Astyanax mexicanus: one gene and its partner. The protein of the gene in region 1 interacts with the protein of each later gene in a biochemical or structural test. Links are inferred from orthologs where the notes say so. Each region holds a gene or a part of one and is shown in the gene's direction. Other genes may lie near its edges.

The links.
Region 2: the proteins of rlim (region 1) and lhx3 form a complex in vitro, tested with the Homo sapiens proteins (2 studies listed by BioGRID). The link is inferred for Astyanax mexicanus from reciprocal best matches to the Homo sapiens genes RLIM and LHX3.

The regions. Positions count from the first base shown.
Region 1 is NC_064417.1:1,609,480-1,620,935, forward strand, and holds the start of rlim (E3 ubiquitin-protein ligase RLIM), read left to right. Parts: upstream 1-5,946; 5' UTR 5,947-6,119; intron 6,120-7,928; exon of another isoform or gene 7,929-8,077; intron 8,078-9,556; 5' UTR 9,557-9,589; coding exon 9,590-9,758; intron 9,759-11,456. UniProt on the Homo sapiens protein: E3 ubiquitin-protein ligase.
Region 2 is NC_064408.1:4,061,827-4,073,280, reverse strand, and holds the start of lhx3 (LIM/homeobox protein Lhx3), read left to right. Parts: upstream 1-7,069; 5' UTR 7,070-7,527; coding exon 7,528-7,597; intron 7,598-11,454. UniProt on the Homo sapiens protein: Transcription factor.

The DNA.
Region 1 (11,456 bases):
TTGTACTTGCAAACTACCTATTGAGTGATTGTGTACGGCTTGATTGAGATTTAAAAAACTACCATGGCTGCATTTTCCTCTTGCTTTTGCTGTTTTTACCTGTTTTTACCTTGTAGTTGTTTTGTTTTTTTGTTTCTTGTTTTTTGGTTCTCGTCTGAAGAGAAGGAAAAAAAAAAGCCTTGATTTTTCTTTTTTTTTTTGCTTTCTTTTATTCGGGGGGAGACTTTTTTTTCTATTTATGTTTTTTTTATTTTTTTTACAGTGAATTATTTTGCTGCCCTGAACTTATGTAATTATATTCCTTGTTGGAAACATGTAGCTGTTTGGATAAAAAAAGACAAAATGCTTGTGGCAAGTAAGCTCCCCTATTAGCTAGTTATTTTTTCTTTTTTTTATAATATATATATATATATATATATATATATATATATATATATATTTGCAGAACAGGATGACCTCTCCTTGCTTTTTCTCCCTTATATACAGTATATACTGCCTGACTTTTTAAAAAGCGGAAAATGCCAAGCCTCCTATTTAGGATAATAAACATCCTTAGCAGGCCCCAAGACATCAATATATATAAAGCACATAACGGGACCGTTTTTTGTATTGAAGACATATCAGATTAAACGTATTGTCCTTTTTTTCTTACGTATGGAATGTTATAAAAGTTATAATTTTCTTCCTATGCTTTTACTATGCTTTTACAGGAGTTTTACTGGAACTTATCTTAGAGGGACAGTTCTAAGCCATGGAAATCCAAAATGCTTCACTCTTCTTTTCTCTTTTCTTTTCCTTTTTTGGCAGTGTCCCTGTATAAAAAAATGCACTATTTAATGAAAACATGAATTCTGAAAATCAGTGTGCCAAATGTAAACTGTGCAAAATTATTATTAATGAATACTGAAAACTTGCTGTTTCTTTTTAGCATCACTATGAATCCCTATTATGGCATTATGGCCGTTTTCTTTTGAGACTCTGCACGAGTTGACGTTCTGGATCCCCCTCCCGCCACCCCACACTTTTCTTTTGGGACTCTATACGGTGAAGAGCACCCTGCAGCTGACAGTGGTACATAACACCACTCATATAACCAAAACAACTCTCGCTCTGAACTTTCCTCCTCCTTTTTCCACCTCCTCGCCAAATTCAGTTTACCTCAGAATAACTTGGCTTTGAGATTAAAAAAGACGAACGAATGGAGACGCGTCTTAAAGAAAAGCACGGGAGAAGATACGGACAGTGTTCGTTCTGGATAGAGAACAGCATCTGGCGTCAGATGGTAAGCACTGTCATGAGCATGATTATGGGAAAGTATATAAGATAAAGACCAAACAGGAGCACGCAGTGTCACTGATGCAAAGCACCAGAAGCTATTTGATTGCTAATAGCACCCCCTTGTGGAGAATCTACAGTCTAACCGCCATGAATGAATGAATAAATGACTGAATAAGTGTGTGAGTGAATGAGTGAACTACAACCTCGACAAAGTCCAGAGGTTCTTTGCATCTAACAAGAACTTAACAGAACAACAGAAGCCATAATTCTGGTAAATTCTGGAATTTAATGCAGCCCTTTGGTGATCTCCATCATCAGAATGCCAAAAAAAAATCCGGCCGAGTCCATACACGTTCTGCCCGAGCCCGACCCAAACCCATCAAATAAACTATAATTTTGAGCCCAAGCCTGATTTAAACCCCACATTATTTTTAGTAAGTAGAGCGTTAAAACTGAGCTTTTTACAAACATTTTTGGGCTGTTTAAATGAGTGAAATCTGTTCAGAATGATGTTAGTTAACATTGCAACACTGAAGAAGCATAGACCTATTATTAAAGGTAAATAATTATTAAGAACAGATCTACGAAACATTAAAACACAGACGATGCGAACAATGACCCACAGGCCTAAACATCGGTAAATTAGGCTAAAAGGATGATGTCTGAATTACTTTTTTTTTCTAATCTAATATAATTTAACATGGTTTAAGAATATAAAATACTTTCTAAACAAACAAACTGTTTTATATTGAGCTTATAGTCTATGTCCAAAAACATAACATCATTTACAATGATTTTTACTCTAATCCAATATAATTTAACATGGTTTAAGTATATAAAATATTTTCTGGACAAATTATTATTATAATTTTTTAATCATATAGATTAAGTGCTAAAAACCCATATATATATATATATATATATATATAATGCTATATATAGTCTATATATAGCTTTGTGTAAAATAAAATAGCATTAAAAATACATTTTCTTGAGCCCGGTCCGATTTCGGGCATCAGCTCAGACTCGGGCAGAAAATCTAACCTCCACCAGACACCCTGTTGTAGTAGATTCATCATGTGTATTGATTATTAAGACGTTAATCTGATTATAACAGTCTATGACTTGCTGATATAAAAACATATTTTCTCAAAATTAAAAGAAAATGATTTTAAACTATTCTGGAACATATTTTAAGAGAAATAATAGAATAATAAAATAAAAGCTGAGGGAGGTGTGATGCCGCGGGTGCGTTCACTCTTTGCTCCCGAATGTTAACTTATCATAGTTTTGCCCTGTATTCTTCTGCCTCTCTCTGTTGTGTCCAGCTCTCCGTGTTAAAGGACCCGGACACGCTGGCGATGGGGAAACTGCACACGGGCGTCACGCTCACCTGCCTGCCTTCTCGTTTCTGCCTATTTTCGATTGAATGTACTTCTACAAGATTTGTACAGTGTGCCACTGTTGAGCTGCCTCCTCTTACTGGTGCTAAGAAAGCAAATTTTTCTTTTTTTTTTGTTTTGTTCTTCTTTCCCAGATATGACAAAAAAATGGAAAGGAAAAAAAGAGAAAATATAGAAACACAAAGCCCTAATCCTCTCTTTATGAATGTATAATATATGGTTATGTTTGATGTATTCACACCATAATTCTTTGACATTAATTGGGATTATTACTTTTTGCTTTTTTTGTTGAAAAGAGTATTGAGCTTTATAAATATTGTCTAGAGTTGATACCAGAGGGATTCTTAATGAACTCTTGACAAGACAAAAAATTACTGTATATTTTTCTCTGTGCCAATTTGTAACATATTTTGTAAGTGTATATTTTTCTTAGAAAGTGCTGTGAAGTATTAGTGTGTGTGAGTAACCTTTTTTGCGCCTCTGTAGGCAGTGAAAAGGATGTATAATGAAAAAGTTTCTGGTTTTAAAAACCAAACCATTAAGTAACACAAAAAAAAAAATCTACATTTTTGTTGGGAGTTTTGTACGAGAAAATTGACCTTGTTGTGGGAGTACTGTGTTCATGTGGAAAACACAAATAGGCAAACAAAGAAAAATGATGAAAAAAAAAACATTAAATTTGTGAACTACTTGCTGTTTTATAGATTTTTCATGTAAATTATTCTAGTATTATTTTGTTTATGTTGTAACTGTTGCAAAGGTTTTAAATATTTGTGAACCCGCCTGTATGGTGATAATGTAATATTGGTAATTTGCTGAGTTTTGTAATAATGTTTATGGAGTAAATATACAAATTAAAATGAGATTTTGAATGCTGCTTTTGGAAATTGTCAGTTTTGTTCTGTCACTGTTTCTCCTACTGTTTTACTGATTCAAAACTTCACTTTAAATGCATTGGGGAGGTGTTTTGGACTTAGGAGTAAACAAATATACTATATTTTGAAACTAGTTTACAATGTTTAAATACCATGTTTTATTACAACAAGCCAGAAAAATGAATATGGTATAATTATACATCACTGATTGGTGGAAACTTCACACTGGACCTCGAGCAGTTTGGACTGTGTGTCTCTCCACTCTTCCTCCAGACTCTGCTCCCTTGATTTACTAATGAAATGAATAAATGTAAATTTACTGATGATCAGTGATGGTTTGGACAGTCATGTCTGTCATCTGCTGGTGTTGATCCACTGTGTTTTATTATCAAGTCTAAAGTCAGTGCAGTTTTGTTTTCCCACAAAATTTACAACACTTCATGCTTCCCTCTGCTACTGACAACTTTTATGGAGATGCGGATTTTATTTTCCAGCAGGACTTGGCACACTGCCCACACAGCCAAAAGTACCAATCGGTCTTATATAATATTCTCATTTTCTGAGATACTGATTTTTGGGTTTTCATTGGCTGTAAGCCATAATCAACAATAATCATCAACAATAAAAAAACGCTTAAAATAGATCACTCTGTGTTTAATACATCTATATAATATATGAGTTTCACATTGTGAACTGAATTACTGAAATAAAGTAATAACTTTTCAATGATATTCTAATGTTTTGAGATGCACTAGTGTATCCCAGATGGTAAAGTAAAAGCACAGGGTAAGCTATAATACAGTGCTCCAGAAGGGGGTGATAAAGTTCCAGCAGCAGCACATCAGCAGGGCTGTGGGTATTGATCCTACAACTCTGATCAATATATAATAACCCAGTGCTCTAAACACCAAACCACCACAGATAATGAGAAAATATACATACTAATTTATTTATTTATTATTGAAAGTAAGTGAAAATGTAGCATACATAAGCAACTGATTTTACCTGAATGGACTACCTGATTAGTAAGTAAAATAAAGGGTCTAAAACCAGATAAAACTGATATCAAGATTATGAACACATAACACATAGCTCCAGTTTTCCAGACAGGGATTATGCCTAGTCTTGAGCCACAGCATTCTGAATATATATAGGTCTAATCCCTGTCTAAGAAACACACATATATATATATATATATATATATATTTTTTTTTTTCTTTTCTTTTTTTTTTTTACCTTACCTTAGATATTAACCTTATATATTAGGTAATGATAATGTCGGAACAATATCTGATTTTGCCGATTCTCGTCTATTTTAGCTAAGAAGAATATTTGAACTTTTATAAAACTATATAAAACAGGCTCTTAAATATAGGGTTATGTGAGTGAGCGCTTAATATACATTTCAGTTATCAAAATCTTAAAAATACGTACAGAATAAAATTATATATATATTATATATATAATAGACTATAAGCTTATTTCCTATTTATTCAGGGTCTCATTCATTTATTTGGCACAATCAATAATTAATAAAGGTAATGATCTATAATATCGGTCGGAAGAATATCTGATTTTGCCGATCAGTTACATCATAACTATCATATCTACTTTAGCTGACAAGAAGAGTTGAACATTTATAAAACTGTTCCTTTATTTATATAAAAATCTAGCACATTTATTACAAATTGTAGCACAGTTTAACTAGCTAATTAACAGGTGTAAAATAATATAAAGCTTTAATGAGCTTATTATATATATATATATATATATATATATATATATATATATATAGTTAAAATAAAATAAATAATTCTTAATAATTCTTGCCCGAGCAATTATATATAATTAACTATATATATAGTTATGAAAATCTTACAAGTGTGCGCAAAATAAAAAAAAGTATTTAGCTTTTTTTTTAAGCATTTTTAACATTTTTACAGCCTTTTAACAGCATTTTGGAGCATTTTTATGCATTTTTGAAGTATTTTAAGAGCAGTTTGCCTGTTTTCAGTAGGACTTTTATTACAAATTGTAGCACAGTTTAACTAGCTAATTAACAGGTGTAAAATAATATAAAGCTTTAATAAGCTGATATATATATAAAATAAATAATTCTTATTAATTCTTGCCCGAGCATATATATATATATATATATATATATATATATATATATATATATATATATATATATATATATATATATATATAGTTATGAAAATCTTACAAGTGTGCGCAGAATGAAAAAGGTATTTTGCTTTTTTTAAGCATTTTTAACATTTTTACAGCCTTTTAACAGCCTTTTGATGCATTTCTGAAGCATTTGTATGCATTTTTAAAGTATTTTAAGAGCAGTTTGCCTGTTTTCAGTAGGACTTTTATCTTGCCTTGTTTTTGACCGGAATCAAGGCTGTAGAGAACAGACGGGTTGAGAAACCAATGGTGGGGAGAACGGGTTTATAATACTTGGATAAAGAAGATCACGGTTACGTTTTATTAAATATATATCTACGGAGGACAGCACGGCGATCAGCAGAGGATATCAGCGGATCAGCTAGAACAGGTACGACCCTGCCGGTCACGGTAATCCACTTTAAAGATACGGGTTTACAAAGGTAACGTTAGCGTTAGCTCAAGATTAATATGCTAAGGCTAAGCTAAGCTATAGCTAAGCTTTGCTTTAAATGCGTTTCACCTTTACTGTTCTGGTGCGCTTAAAACGGCCAAGTTTTTTTGTTTTATTTTTATTTCAGAAAATAGCTGACTAACGTGTTAGTTAACCTGTTAAAGGAGCATTTGAATCCATTGTTATTTAGCTCACTTTCACTAACAGCTAGTTAATATTTGCTAGTTTCTAGTACAAAGCTAAAAACCCTTTAGCTAGCTAACGAGGCTAACAACTAGAGGTGGGTAACCCAGGTCCAGAAAGTAAAAATCCACCCAGGGTTTTGTACCAACTACCTGGGCGGCTCTACTACAGCTCGGCCAACAAAACCCTGGGTGGAATTTTACTCTCTTAACAACAGTTCTTAGAAAACGTCCATCTGTTCTCCTTTGACAATAACAATAAAACTCCGCTCCTGGATTTTGTTCCAGCTGCCTGATTGGCCCTCTGTGTTGCTCAACTGCTGCATACAGTTGGAACAAAATCCTGGAGCGGAGCTTTAATGTTCTGGACCGGGATTTACTGCTACCTTTAGAAACGTCTAAGATGGTTTAATTAGCTAGTTAGCTAGCTAGCGTTAGCTGTAGCTATAATGTAATCCACCCCGTACAAAATTACTAAAACTAACACGGTCTTTATATAGTTACATATTTAGCTAGTTAACGTTGTCTAAACGTTATGGTGTTCGTTATGGTGTGACAACAGAAATAAATAGTGATTTATTGTGTTTGTTACATATCTGTAGCTAAAATAGAGGGGTTGCTAGTCTAGGCTAGCGGAGTTAGCTACATGACGTTGGCCGGTGTCCTGTCGATTTGTGTTACCTTGTCAAAACATGTCACCGTTATGTATAAACTAGCTAACGTTACGGTTATAATTACAAATCAAGCAGTATACGCCTACATTTAATTTGGGATTAATAAAATATAATATAATCTAGCTGTTACTTTATTACAAGTATAGGATATAGCTAGATACAGCTATAGAAAAAAAAATAAGTCCACTTAATGATGAGTTTCTTTGATTTTACCAAATTGAAAACCTCTGGAATTTAATCAAGAGCAAGACCCAAAAGCAGTGTGCAAGACTGGTGGAGGAGAATATGCCAATTTGCATTAAAATTGTGATTAAAAACCAGGGTTATTCCACCAAATATTGATTTCTGAACTCTTAAAACTTTATGAATATGAGATTTGTTTTCTTTACATTATATGATCTGAAAGCTCTGCATCTTTTTTGTTGTTTCAGACATTTCTCATTTTCTGCAATTTTTTTCCAGAGCTGTATGCTCCTTTTAATACTCTCCTTGATATTTTCTATTTTATTACATTTTATTTTATTTTATATTATTTTAACAATGGCTCTTTTGGGTGTAACTGGACCACGAGAATACAATTTCGTTCCACCTCATGTAACTACCCCATGTGATGTGAAGGACAAGAAACTCTCATTGTGATAGCCCAAACACTAATTCTAATTATATCAGCGTAAATAATATTAAATCATATTTCTTATGATTAACCTATATATTCTGACCACCGATTTACTTTTATAATTAATCGATTAATTAACACACAAGCCAGTAATGGCTGTGGTCTAAAATGCACCCGAATAAAACAATATAATAATAATTATTATTATTCATAAAAATAACACTCGCACACGCATGAAAACATGTTGCACTGTGGTTCAGCGCATGCGCGTAGCGGCTCAGAAGCACATATCGATGAGCAGCACAATTCGACGGAACACCGCGTTACAGGCACAAGATGTTCTTGTAGGTTAGCTACCGGCCTAATTGGATCAACAATCTTCTTTAAACGGTTGCCTTTCTACTCTGCTCGGCTTATTTAGCGGTATGTAGACGGAAATCTGCTTTATGGAGCTAAAGTTTAACATTATCGGGCTGGATTAGCCTGTGTGTCGGCCTTCTCTCTCGATGCCATTTTGTTTTCTCTCCGTTTGGCGCAGTGCCTCACAATTAGTGTCCATTTTTGAAGCTGGTTAAATCCTAAAACACATTATAAAACATATATAGTAAATATAGCTAACTATCTGTCCTGCAGGTACACTTTACCGAATTGTCAGTCGGTTTAAAGAGTCCATAGAGGACAAACAAGTGACAAAACCTCAATGCTAATATGGCTAACTAGCTAAATCAGCTTTCAAACTGTAGGTAAGTTAACTGTAATATTTATGTTATATATTCTCAGTTATATTTTAGCTATCTTACACTTGCAGTGCAATACCTTATGCATATATGTCCATAGTGTGCTATTCTGTATATCGCTGGAAATAAGTTACTTTATTTCAGTAATTCAGTTAAAATGTGTTATGTAGATGTATTACACACAGAGTGATCTATTTTAAGCGTTTATTTGTTTTATCGTTGATGATTATTATGGCTTACAGCCAATAAAAACCCCAAAAATCAGTGTCTCTCAGAAAATTTGAATATTATATTATATTATAAGACCAACTGGTACTTTTGGTAGTGTGGGCAGTGTGCCAAGTCCTGCTGGAAAATGAAATCTGCATCTCCATAAAATTTGTTATCAGCAGAGGGAAGCTGTAAGATTTTGTGTGAAAACTAAACTGCACTGACTTTAGACTTGATAATAAAACACAGTGGATCAACACCAGCAGGTGACAGACATGACTCTGCAGACCATCACTGATTGGTGGAAACTTCACACTAGAACTCGAGCAGTTTGGACTGTGTGTCTCTCTACTCTTCCTCCAGACTCTGATCCCTTGATTTACTAATGAAATGTAACATTTACTGATGATCAGTGATGGTTTGTAGAGACATGTCATCTGCTGGATAATGTAGTGGAATAAAAACATTAATGATATTTTATGTCTATGTAATAGTACTGATACACAATTTTATACATGGAGCATTTATATAAGGTCTATTTCGCATTGTTTATACATTCAGAAAAAATATAAGTATTAGTGCATCTTTACACCCCTATTCTTTACAGTTTAGTTAAAATAAGTAATTTTTGTTATTCAAATCTGTTTAAAATATCATATATATTATAAAATCAAATCGCGAACAGAGTGTATCGTTACACCACTTGTTAGTATTTATTTATTAATGATGTTTTAAAACTATATCTTCCTACAAAAGAGCAGGCAGGCCTACAGAAGCTCAGCAATTACTGTAATGTGTTTTGTACAGCTTTCAGCTTAGGGATCATGAGTTCATTTCCTTTTCTAATTTGTAGGAACTTAAAATACCGTTTACAAGCTTTACACGTGCTGCTCTTTGTGCTTCTCTCGACAAGTGCCTTTGCAAGCTCTGTAAATCTTTGGTCCTCTGTCTCCAGGTGGTGCTGACAGTCGTTTTGGCTTTAACAGCCATGGAGAGCTCAGACAATGCAGAACAAGGGGGCAGCGAGCAGTCCGATTCACAACGCAGACAACAGCTGGACAGACTGGACAGAGAAGAGGCTTTCTACCAGTTCGTGAACAACCTGAGTGAGGAAGACTACAGGTTGATGAGAGACAACCATCTGCTCGGCACCCCAGGTAACTAAAATAAAGCTGGATTTATGATTATCTCTGTTAACGAAACTTGTTTTTGTTGTTGCTTAAATCATTTCTAATGTTAGCTGTCCTATAAAGTTTGATACGTTTTGTTTTGTGACCCAAAAAGGTGATTTAAGCAATTAAACACCTTCTTTTTCCATTGCAGCATGTTACTCTGTAGGTGGGAGAACTTTTGTGACTCACAGCGATTTATTATTTTTCCATCTTTTCCCACTGTATAGAACTAGCTAGGTGATGCAGAAATTAATATGCAAGGTTGACTGTCAGTCAGCTTGGCTAATTGTGCATTCCTCTCTGTGCACATTGATTACTTACGGCTTTCTTGAGATGTTCACCTCTCTGTATTGCGGTTATTTGAGATGATGGATACAGAGGATACTTTTTAATCATACAGCTCTGGAAAAAATGAAGAGACCACTTCAGTTTCTAAATCAATTTGTCTGATTTATTTCATAATTTATTCTATAAACTACGGACAACATTTCTACCAAGTTCCAAATAAAAATATTGTCATTTATAGCATTTATTAATTAATTAATAACAAAAAAGATGCAGAGCTTTCAGACCTCAAATAATGCAAAGCAAACAAGTTCATATTCATAAAGTTTTAAGAGTTCAGAAATAATCAATATTTGGTGGAATAACCCTGGTTTTTAATCACAGTTTGGGCATCATGTTCTCTTCCTCCACCAGTCTTACACACTGCTTTTGGATAACTTTATGCTGCTTTACTCCTGATGCAAAAAAGTTAAGCAGTTCAGTTTGGTGGTTTGATGGTTTGTGATCATCCATCTTCCTCTTGATTATATTCCAGATGTCTTTAAATTTGATAAAATTTAGGAGAAACATTATCATCAAGTGGTCTCTTATTGCTTTCCAGAGCTGTATATTGCTGCACTCAGAGTAATGGACAGTTACTTTCAGAGTACTTTATCTCTTTATCTAGTTTATTCCCCCTTTTAGAGAAATACGTGTTTTTGTGATTTTGTGGAGCTAAATGTTTTATGCGTTTTATGGATGGTTTGAATTTTGTTTAAGTACTTTAAAACAAAAACACCAAACAGTTGGACCTCTGAAGACGCCGATCCGTTTCTGTCCCGGGACAGTGGAAAGGAAAGGAAAGGTATTTTGGAGCATCATTAAGCGGAGGCCGCTGCCAGGAGATGACTTTGAGTGGACAGTTCTTGTCCTGGTAAGTCTGGTGGAATTCAGTATTGACCTGTTGCTGTTTCACAAGTTTCTCTGGGCAGCTGGTAAACAGCTCAAAAATGTTCAGTCATAAAATTCTGTATATTTTACTTTATGTTTTGAGAGCTGTAATTAGTTAGTGAAAAATGTTTGGTCCTAAAAAACAGGCTTAATAAATCAAATAAAAGGTCCATGTACTTCAGTCTGTTTAGGCTGTATAGTGGTTTTATACATTGTATGTCTTGTAATGATTAAAAAAATAATCCCTAAATATCACAATAAACAACTTTTGTTGAGCTAGTTTGGCGGGGGTTATTTATTTTTCATTTGTATTTTATTATTATTATTTTTTATTATTACTATAATTATGATTATAATTATTATTAGTAGTAGTAGTAGAAGTAGTAGTAGTTATAATAGTTTTCAAACAGGGTTAATAGCTTTTTTTTATTGGCCCAGCAATTACGCATAATCAGTTTTGTATATTTT
Region 2 (11,454 bases), on another chromosome or scaffold:
TCAGTCATGGTCAAAACAATCACAGGGCTAACTAAACAAATGCTAACATATTGACATATTGATGTATAACCAATGTTGATTAGTTAACCAATCGTAAGCTTACCAATTGCATGTTAACCAGTCACAATTAAATGAATTAACTAATCACAGACTTACCATTCAGAAGATAAACAAACAGATACATAAACATACGCTAAACAATCATAGATTGACCAATTAGAGACCAACAAGACCAATCAGATGAAACTCAATCACAGAAAAGCTAGACATTAAACATTCAAATACTAATCAATCAGAGACTAATCAACAATAGACTATCCTAAAACCAATCAGCCTAAGACTAATCAGACAGACACTAACCAATCATAAGCCAACCAATTAAAGGCTAAACAACCAAACAGAGACTGAGTAGAGACTATCCAACCATAAACTAACCAATTTAAGGCTAACCAATCAAAATAACCAATCACAGACTACCCAGAGAATAACCAACGAAAGTCTAACCAATCAGTCACTAACCAACCATAACATAACCAATTTAAGGCTAACCAACCAAAGACTAACCAATCAGAGACTAATCAAAGATTATCCAACCATAAACTATACAATTAAAGGCTAATCAACCAAAGGCTGACCAGAGACTAACTAACCAAAGACTAACCAACCAGAGACTTAGCAGAGATTATCCAACCATACACTAACTATTTAAAGGCTAACCAACCAAATATTATCCAATCAGAAAATAACCAGAGACAAACTAAAAATAAACTAACTAACTAACTAATTTAAGGCTAAGAACCCAAAGACTAACCAATCACAGACTACCTAGAGATTAACCAATCAAAAACTAACCAATCAGAGACTAACCAACCATAACATAACCTATTTAAGGCTAACCAACCAAAGATTACCCAATCACAGACTACCCCGAGACCAACTAAACATATACTAAACAGTCAGAGACTAAGCAGAGATTATCTAACCATACACTAACCAATTAAAGGCTATCCAATCAGAGAATAACCAGAGACAAACTAAAAATAAACTGACCAATTTAAGGCTAAGAAACCAAAGACTAACCAATCACAGACTACCCAGATATTAACCAATCAAAAACTAACCAATCAGAGACTAACCATAACATAACCAATTTATGGCTAACCAACTACAGAAAAAACTATCCAATTAAAGAATAACAAACCAAAGGCTAACCAATCAGACACTAACCAGAGATTAACCAACCAAAGAGTAACCAATCTGAGACTTACCAGAGACAAATCAACCATAAACTAACAAATTAAAGGCTAACCAACCAGAGGCTAACCAGAGACTAACCAACCATAAACTTTCCAATTAAAGGATAACTATACCAGAATAATAACCAATCAGCATCTAACCAGATACTAACCAATCATAACAACCAGTTTAAGGCTAAGAAACCAACTATTTGATCCCAGACTACCCAGACTTTTACCAACCAAAGACTAAACAATCAGAGGCTAACCAACCATAATATAACCAATTTAGGGCTAACCAATCAAAGATTAACCAATAAGAGATATACAAACCAAAGGCTAACCAATCAGAGACTAAGCAGAGACAAACCAACCATACACTAACCAATTAAAGACTAACCAATCAGAGACTAAGCAGAGATTATCCAACCATACACTAACCAATTAAAGGCTAACCAATCGGAGACTAAGCAGAGACAAACCAACCATACACTAACCAACCAAAGGCTTACCAATCATAGATTAACCAAATTGAATCAGAGATTAATGAACCATAATATAACCTGAGACTGACCAACCATAGATTAACCAGTCTGAAACTAACCAACCAATCAGAGATTAAGCATTTATGGATTATGGTTGGTTCACCTTTGACTAGTTAACCTCTGGTTGGGTAGTCTCTGATTGGTTATCCTGTGACTTGATTGCCTCTGTATGATAGTCTGTTGATAGTCTCTATTAGCCACCGATTGATTAGTACATGATTGGTTAGCCTTTGATTGTTATTACTTGATTATTACTTCTGATTGGTCCCTGTAATCCATAAACATGTGGCTTGTTAGCCTCTGATTGGATAGTTATGGTTAATTAGCTGGATAATGAACTATCAGAGACTAAACAATTATTTAATTGTTTATTATTCATGTAGACATAAACAGTATCTGCCTTAGGAATACTACAGATTCCACTGAGAATAAAAACCAGACCACCACCAACCCCCACCAGAGTCATCCTCCCACACACACACACACACACACACACACACACACACACACACACACTCAGCCCACTCAAACATTAATATTCATAGCACTTAAACTCAGAGTCATTTAAAAAAGTGGGAACGCTCCTCCAGGATAATGCAGCGGTTTGATCTGCCGGACCCTCAGCACAAAAGCCGGAAGTGTGGAGGGTCTCTCGGCCGCGAGAGGATGCTCCGTTGTTTCGGTGTGTGTGTGTGTGTGTGTGTGTGTGTGTGTGTCGTGTACAGCCTGGCCTTTGTTGAAGGCATTTAAGGCCTGATTGAGATGGAACAGTGGAGTGGGGGTCTCAGGTGTGCTAACACTTCACCAATCTACACAAATGAAGAGAGGATCAGAGACAGAGAGAGAAAAAGAGAGAGAGTACACTGAGAGATAGAGTAGATATAGTGAAAAGCACAAGTTTCTATTTATTTCTTATATTATATAAATGTATATAGACATAATCTTTCATTCTACTTTATAGTAGCTATTGCTATTTTTATTCTCCTAAAACATAGAATGTATTTTTTCTACACTCTAACTCAAAGGAGATGGCCAGAAGGTAACATAGACATAAAGGTATAATCTTCCATGCTACGTTATATCATTGCTATTTTTATTGATATACTATATAGATATATTGTAATATCTATAAAGACTTCCCTTATAGAACGCCAATCACAATGCAGGGTCGGAACTAACTGTGATATAACCTGTGTTGTTATTGTTTTGATGGTGCTTTGGTAATACTGTTTGTTTTAAATATGGTTATATCAATAAAGCCTACTGAACTGAAAACAGCAATAGAAAGAGTGAAATAAGAGAGAGAGAGAGAGAGAGAGAGAGAGAGAGAGAGAGAGAGAGAGAGCATGGGCCAAAGAAAGGAGAAAGAGAGACAGGTAGAGTGAGAGAAAGAAAAAGAAACAAAAACCCAGGGGCAGGTAGAGAAATTGTCAGTAAAGCAAATAAATATAGTCTGAGAGAAAAAGCAGAGATAAAGAAAGAGAGAGTAAGACGTGATAGAGGAAAGAGAGAGTGTGAGAGAGAGAGAGAGAAAGAGGGGGTAAGAAGAGAGAGAAAGAGAAAGTGAGAGGTTGAGAGAGTAAGACACTATTCTAATGTTATATGGTGTTAACACTATTATAATGTTATATATAGTTAATTACGGGTATGCACTATTCTAATGTTATATATAGTTAATTACGGGTATGCACTATTCTAATGTTATATATAGTTAATTACAGATATGCACTATTCTAATGTTATATATAGTTAATTACAGATATGCACTATTATAATGTTATATATACTTAATTACAGGTATGCACTATTCTAATGTTATATATAGTTAATTACAGGTATGCACTATTCTAATGTAATATATAGAGTTAATTACAGGTATGCACTATTATAATGTTATATATAGTTAATTACAGGTATGCACTATTCTAATGTTATATATAGTTAATTACAGATATGCACTATTCTAATGTTATATATAGTTAATTACAGGTATGCACTATTCTAATGTTATATATAGTTAATTACAGGTATGCACTATTTTAACATTATATATAGAGTTAATTAAAGGTATGCACTATTCTAATATTATATATAGTTAATTACAGGTATGCACTATTCTAATGTTATATATAGAGTTAATTACAGGTATGCACTATTCTAATGTTATATATAGTTAATTACAGGTATGCACTATTCTAATGTTATATGTAAGGTTAATTGCAGGTATGCACTATTATAATATTATATATAGTTAATTACAGGTATGCACTATTCTAATGTAATATATAGAGTTAATTACAGGTATGCACTATTATAATGTTATATATAGTTAATTACAGGTATGCACTATTCTAATGTTATATATAGTTAATTACAGATATGCACTATTCTAATGTTATATATAGTTAATTACAGGTATGCACTATTCTAATGTTATATATAGTTAATTACAGGTATGCACTATTTTAACATTATATATAGAGTTAATTAAAGGTATGCACTATTCTAATATTATATATAGTTAATTACAGGTATGCACTATTCTAATGTTATATATAGAGTTAATTACAGGTATGCACTATTCTAATGTTATATATAGTTAATTACAGGTATGCACTATTCTAATGTTATATGTAAGGTTAATTACAGTTATGCACTATTCTAATGTTATATATACTTAATTACAGGTATGCACTATTCAAATGTTATATAGAGTTATTTACAGGTATGCACTAATGTAATATATAAAGTTAATTACAGGTATGCACTATTCTAATGTTATATAGAGTTCATTTCAGTTATGCATTATTCTAATGTTATATAGAGTTAATTACAGGTAGACACTATTCTAATGTTAGAGTTAAATACAGGTATGCACTATTCTAAAATAAGAGAAAGAAAGAAAAAGAAAGGAGGGAGGAGAAAAGGGAAAGAGAGAGGTAGAGTGAGAGAAAGAAAGAAATAAAGACCCAGGGGCAGGAAGAGAAATCGACAGTAAAGAGAAGAAATATACAGTTAGAGGGAAAAGGCAGAGAGAAACACAGAGAAAGTAAAAAGAGAGAGAGAGAAAAGAGGGGTTATAGGAAGAAAGAAAGAGAAAGACAGAGTGAGAGGTTGAGAAAGTGAAAGAGGGAAAGAGGAAAGAGATGGGAATACGTCTACAAATACAATAATAATAATAATAATAATAATAATAATAATAATAATAATAATAATAATAATAATAATAATAATAATAATAATAACCTTGTGTTACAGGAATACTGTATTATTGTGAGCCAAACAACCCTGACAAATAAAATACAAAAATCTCTCTAAAAAAACAAACAAACAAAAAAAACGAACAAACAATCAAATAAACAAACAAACAAACAAAACAGACAGACAGTGAAGATGGGAGATGGGCTCTGGCTGTATTGTTGTGTTTGTTCTAAAGCTCCTTTAAGACTGTCGGATTCTAATCTGAATAAAGAGATCAGACTCTGACTTACTGACAGGATTTACACAGCAAACAACAGAGAGAGAGAGAGAGAGAGAGAGACAGACACAGAGAGAGAGAGACAGAGAGAGAGAGAGCATCTCTTTCATTGTTATTGTCATTATTACAATGTTATAATGAGATAGATAGATAGATAGATAGATAGATAGATAGATAGATAGATAGATAGATAGATAGATAGATAGATAGATAGATAGATAGATAGATAGATAGAACTGTATGTGAATTAATATTTAAAAATAAAATAAAAAATACAAATTAAGATAAATAAAATAACAAAAAATGCAAAAACAAAATCAATTCTATATTCTAAACTGAATAATATACTGGTGGCTTCAGTAATATTTTAGTCCTTTATTTGTATTTTATATGCTAATACATTGTAGCGGTCCAACAAAAATATATCACCTTTATTATGTGTTTTTATGTTATATAGAGTTAATTACAGGTAGACATTTTTTTTTTGGTTCTATAAAGGAAATTGCAGGCACACTATTCTAAAGTTATATAGAGTTCATTATAGGTATACACTACTCTAATGTTATACAGGGTGTTTAAATGTAGACACTGTTTAAATGTTATATAGAGTTCATTACAGGTATACACTTTTCTAATGTTATACAGGGTATTTAAATGTAGACACTATTTTAATGTTGTATAGAGTTAATTACAGGTATACACTATTTTAATGTCATATAGTGTTAGTTACAGGTTGGTACTCTCCTAATGTTATATAGACTTAATTACAATTAGACATTCTCCCTGAACACTGACCTCATGTTTATTTCGGTTTATTCTAATGTTATATAGAGTTAATTACAGATAGAATTTGGGTTCATTCTTATGTTGTTCTATACTAATGCTATATATATTTAATGACAGGTACACACTATACTAATGTTATATAGAGTTAATTGTTGGTAGATACTATTTTAATGTTATGTTGAGTTAATAGACACCATTTTAATATTATATAGAGTTAATTACATGTAGACACTATTCTAATGTTATATAGACTAATTACAGGTAGACATTCTCCCAGAACACTGACCTCATGCTTATCTCAGTTTATTCTAATGTTTTATGGACTTAATTACAGATAGACATTCTCACTGAACACTGACCCCATTTATTTGCGTTTATTCTAATGTTATATAGAGTTAATTACAGCTAGAATTTGGGTTCACTCTCGTGTAGTAATTAAGTGTATACACTATTCTGATGTTATATAGACTTAATTACAGATAGACATTCTCACTGAACACTAACCTCATGTTCATTTTGATTTATATACGTTATATAGAGTTAATTACAGATGTAATTTGGGTTCATTCTAATGTTGTTTAGATGTAGACAATGTTCTAATGTTATATAGAGTAATATATAGTTAATTACAGGTATAAGCTATTTTAATTTTATATATATTTAATTCCTCGTAGATACTATTTTAATGTTATGTAGAGTTAATTACATGTAGACATTATTTTAAGCTTATGTTGAGCTCATTACAGGTAGACATTCACACTGAACCACTGACCTTATATGTATTCAGATGTTTGGTTAATTGTAATGTTATATAGTTTTAAGGTTATACACATTCTCTCATTTTTTTTAACAGCAAAAACAAAACAAACCAGTGGCAGATTGTGACGCAATGACGCCACGCCCAGTCGGGACATTATACTGGGATGAATGATGGGCACGTGCAACAGCAGTGGGGTGGGTGCATATATGTATGGGGTGGGGGGTGATGGGCTATGGGGGGGTTGTTAACGTCTGCAGCACGCGCCTCCACAAAACTCCCCTTCAGCACCGTGGACAGGGACACACGCCTGTCGCGCGCGAGACACAACGCGCACACACACTCACGCGCGCACACACAAACACACACACATACACGGTGTAACCTCTTGCAGCCGCAGAAGCATCATCAGCAGACGCGCGCGCGCACGCACGATCCTCCTCCTCCTGCTGCTTTTTTTTTTTTCCTTGCACAAACACGAGCGCGCAGCCGGAGCTCGTGCCATTTGCAAAACTTCCAGCGCGCACACACACTCTCGCACTTACACTTACGTTTTTACACAGAGCTCGAGGAGTGTTCGGTGTGTCATAAGGGGTGTCATCTCGTTATCTTGTGCACGTCGCGAGCGCTTTGGATTCAGAGTGACCGATTTTTTTTGCTACTTTATTTATTTATTTATTTACTTATTTGTTTTATTTATTTCTTTGTGACATATTTGCCACCAAAATGTTGCTCGAGCATCCCGGATCGAGTTGCCAGAACGCGGGAAATTACTCCAGGTACAGCGCGAGCCAAGGTAAGCGCACATGTTTTTTTTTTTTTTTTATCTTTTCTATGCGGAAAAAACAAGGTTGCACGCGCCAATTTGTTGCGCATTGAAGTGCCTATAGAACTAACGGCAGACAGAGAGAGTGTGTGTGTGTGTGGAGTGTGTGTGAGAGGAGTGCGTAGTATATTATGTTAATTCGTGCCAGTCGATTAAAAAGTTTGTGTTAATATTGATTTAATATATATTAGTGATTTGATATTCGGCAGCGATAGCTCATGATTAATCACGATTAATTGCGCTTAAAATGCGCATACTTGCTTATATTTTTTGATTGAAAGAACAAAACAAAACGAAAAACAAAAAATGTGTAGTGTTACAAACTGAGGAAGTAAACTTTTACGAATATTTTAGGTTTTGTTAGAAATATCGGTCATTTTTTTTCGTGCAAAATTATGCGCATGGAAGATTTTATAGAATTGACGCTATAAGAGCGTGTGAGGAGTGTGTATGTGTGTGTGTGTGTGTGTGTGTGTGTGTGAGAGAGAGAGCGGAGTGGACGCGGGGTGCACTATAAAGTGTGGTGCATATTGTGTTTTATAGTGGTGTCAATCTATTGCAAAACTTAATATTCTGTCATTTAATATATTTGCTGAAAATATTCTCAATGAATCACGATTAATCGCAGTTTAAATCATCTTGATTCCTCTTACAAATAACCGTAGTGTTACAAACTGGATAGAGTTAACTTTTTACATTTATTAGAATGTCTAAGTATTCTTTGTTTGGTTATTGTTTAATTATAGTCGATTATTCGGTGGCATAAATGTTTAACGGATAAAACAGACGCTTTAATGAAGCCGAAAACGCTTCGCACCGAACCGTTAAAGCGCGGGTGCAGGTGTCCCGCTGTGCGATCGCGCGTTACGCACCTGTTACCCGCAGGCTTTCTACTAAACCGATACAGTCCTTTATCCGAGCTTTTCGCTCACTTTCGAAGCACTTATGGCGCTTTGACGTGTCTGATCTTCGAATCGGCGCGCAGTACGACTTGATGGATCTTCATCAGTACACTGCAAAAAACGATTCTTGAGCCCAGTAAACTTTGCTCATTAATATGAGAAGATTTTACCTAAAATTATACTTTTTGAACTATGCTTAATTAAAACAGTATGTACAACCCAATATTTTGTGTGTTTATTTTGTTTAGAAATTTGGAGAAATATTGCATGAATATTTGAGTAAAATCAACATGATTTGAGCCCAGTGATGTTTGCTCATTATAATGAGAAGATTTTACCTAAAATTATACTTTTCGAACTTTGCTTAATTACAAAAATAAGTACAACCCAATAGTTTTAGTGTGTATTATGTTAAGATTTTGTTACGCCTAACTAAATATTTTAAGGCTGCTTGGGAGACCACGAGGCACTGATACAAGTACTTATCTCCACTGATGAAGAACTTTTGGAAGGCAGCGAGCATGGACTGCATGGGTAAGAGCACAGTGACTGATTATTTTTGAGATATTTACAGTTGTGAGTTATCTGTGTAGTTTAAGTTCGTTTTAGAAACACGGTGCTTCAGTGAACTATGTTGGCCTGCAGCTATAGGCAAGCATCAAACCGAAAGAAAGGGCAAATGTAGCTAGCTAGCACGTAGGCTAACTACCCGGGTGGCTAATCCGGCACTGGGCGCGTACAAACCGGGCTGGGCCGTCATGCTAACACCGCATTAGCGACCCCGGTGAGTAGACCAGAGTCGGTCTAGCTGGCTTAATCAACTTATTTTTAGCGTGCCGTAATGCTAACACCGCGTTAGCGTGCTGTAATGCTAACACAGCGTTAGCGTGCTGTAATGCTAACACAGCGTTAGCGTGCTATAATGCTTACACCGCGTTAGCGTGCACCGCATTAGAGACCCCGGTGAGTAACGCCAGATCAGAGTCGGTCTAGCTGGCTAATCAAAGTATTGTTCGCGTGCTATAAGGCTAACGCATGTTAGCTACAATGATTGGTCACTTCAACCCCTTTTTTACATTCTCCTTTTCACTGAGCAGCTTGGTGCACTTAGTTCTATAATTATCAGTGTTGGGAATAACAGCGTTATAAGTAACGGCGTTAGGTAACGACGTAATTTTGTCAGTAACGGGATAAAATAATTAATTACTTTTCCTGTCGTTACAACGCCGTTGACGTTACTGGTGATTAAAAGCAGTGCGTTACTATATAATGATATAATAACAGTAATTCGAGCGGACCCCTGCCCAGGCTAGTGAGTAGTAACAGGTGTTTCACCATGAACTGTGACCTATAGAGATCTGTGACTCCAGGTCTAAACAGGTGACAGTTCTCGGTGTAACACCTGTTGAACTTGACACGCTCTTAACACGCCCTGGCCCGACGGCGGGCCAGATAAATATAATAATTAATATCTGGCTGTGTTTATGAATAATTACAGGCTCAATATATCAATGACAGCCTGCTGACTCTCAGGATTACGGAGCTGCAAACCGTTTTACTGTCGGATGTACGGTTCCTGAATAAGAGTGCGTTAGACGGTTCGGTCTGTGAACACGCTCTTTGATCCGCCTGGGGTTACTACAGGACACCCCTCACACGCAAACAGAGAATATCAGCGCGTACCTCAGAGTCCGGGCTTCAGAACCCCTCCAAACATCTCAACATCCATCAGTCCAGTCTCCAGTAATCCTCATATCCGAGCACTGCTTTTAGAAAAAAATATTATCAACTTTAACGGTTTATTTTAGGAGTTTCTCTTTGTTCTACAGCGATAAACTGCGCATGCGCGTTTCCATGGGCTTCAGCCTGAGAAAAAAAAGAGGTCTGGGGTCAGCCAATCAGGTGGCGAGTTATGCGGGACAGAGGTGGTAGCCAATCAGAGCCAGTGTTTTTACACGTGTGCCGAAGCACACCTGTGACACTCTCTGTAACTGTTTACTTTTTGCTTTTGCTTTTTTTTATATAAAAAAATGTTTTTTTTAAAGGATTTTATTCTGCTCTATTCTGATGTGCAATAAATATAAAAAGTTATGTACAAACACCTTTCTGATCTACTTATTTCAACTGACTGTAAAAATGCTTTTTTTTCAGTAATTGGCCTGCAGGTTAGGGAGACAAAGGGATAAAATATTATTTTTGTTTCTACACTGTTTTACAGAGTTTTTGCAGATGAGCATAAAACACATGTATTTCTATAATTACAGACTGTTTGTTAAAAAAAAATGGAGTTCATTTGAAATGGTCTAAGACTTTTTTTTAACTGCTTTTAAATATTTAATGTTCAGCTGCTCAACCTGCTGTCTTGCTCATGTTCATCTTACAATATTAAGTTAAGTTAATATTAAGTTTATTCACTGGACAAAGACATTTTTTTATGTGAAGGCGTAAAGTGATTTTTTTTGTACTGTCAGTATTAAGACTTTTTGAAAAAAGGACAAAAAAACTTTTCTTAGTTTTATTTAAGAATATGGTGCAACATTTTTGCAAACGTATTATTAAGTATTGCCAGTTTAAGATTTTTGTTAAAAATTAGTAAAAAAATATTTGTTGGTTCTACGTAAAAATATGGTGCAACATTTTTGCAACCTTATTATTAAGTAATGTCAGTTTAAGATTTTAGTTAAAAATGACTAAAAAATATTTGTTGGTTCTACGTAAAAATATGGTGCAACATTTTTGCAACCTTATTTTTAAGTAATTTCACTGTAATTTTTTTTGTAAAAATGACGAAAAATGTTTCTATGGGTTTACGTAAAAACATAGTGCAACATTTTTGCAAGCAAATTATTAAGTAATATCAGTTTAATATTTTAATTAAAAGTTATCAAAAAAGATTTGTGGGTAACACTTAAAAACAAGCTTGCA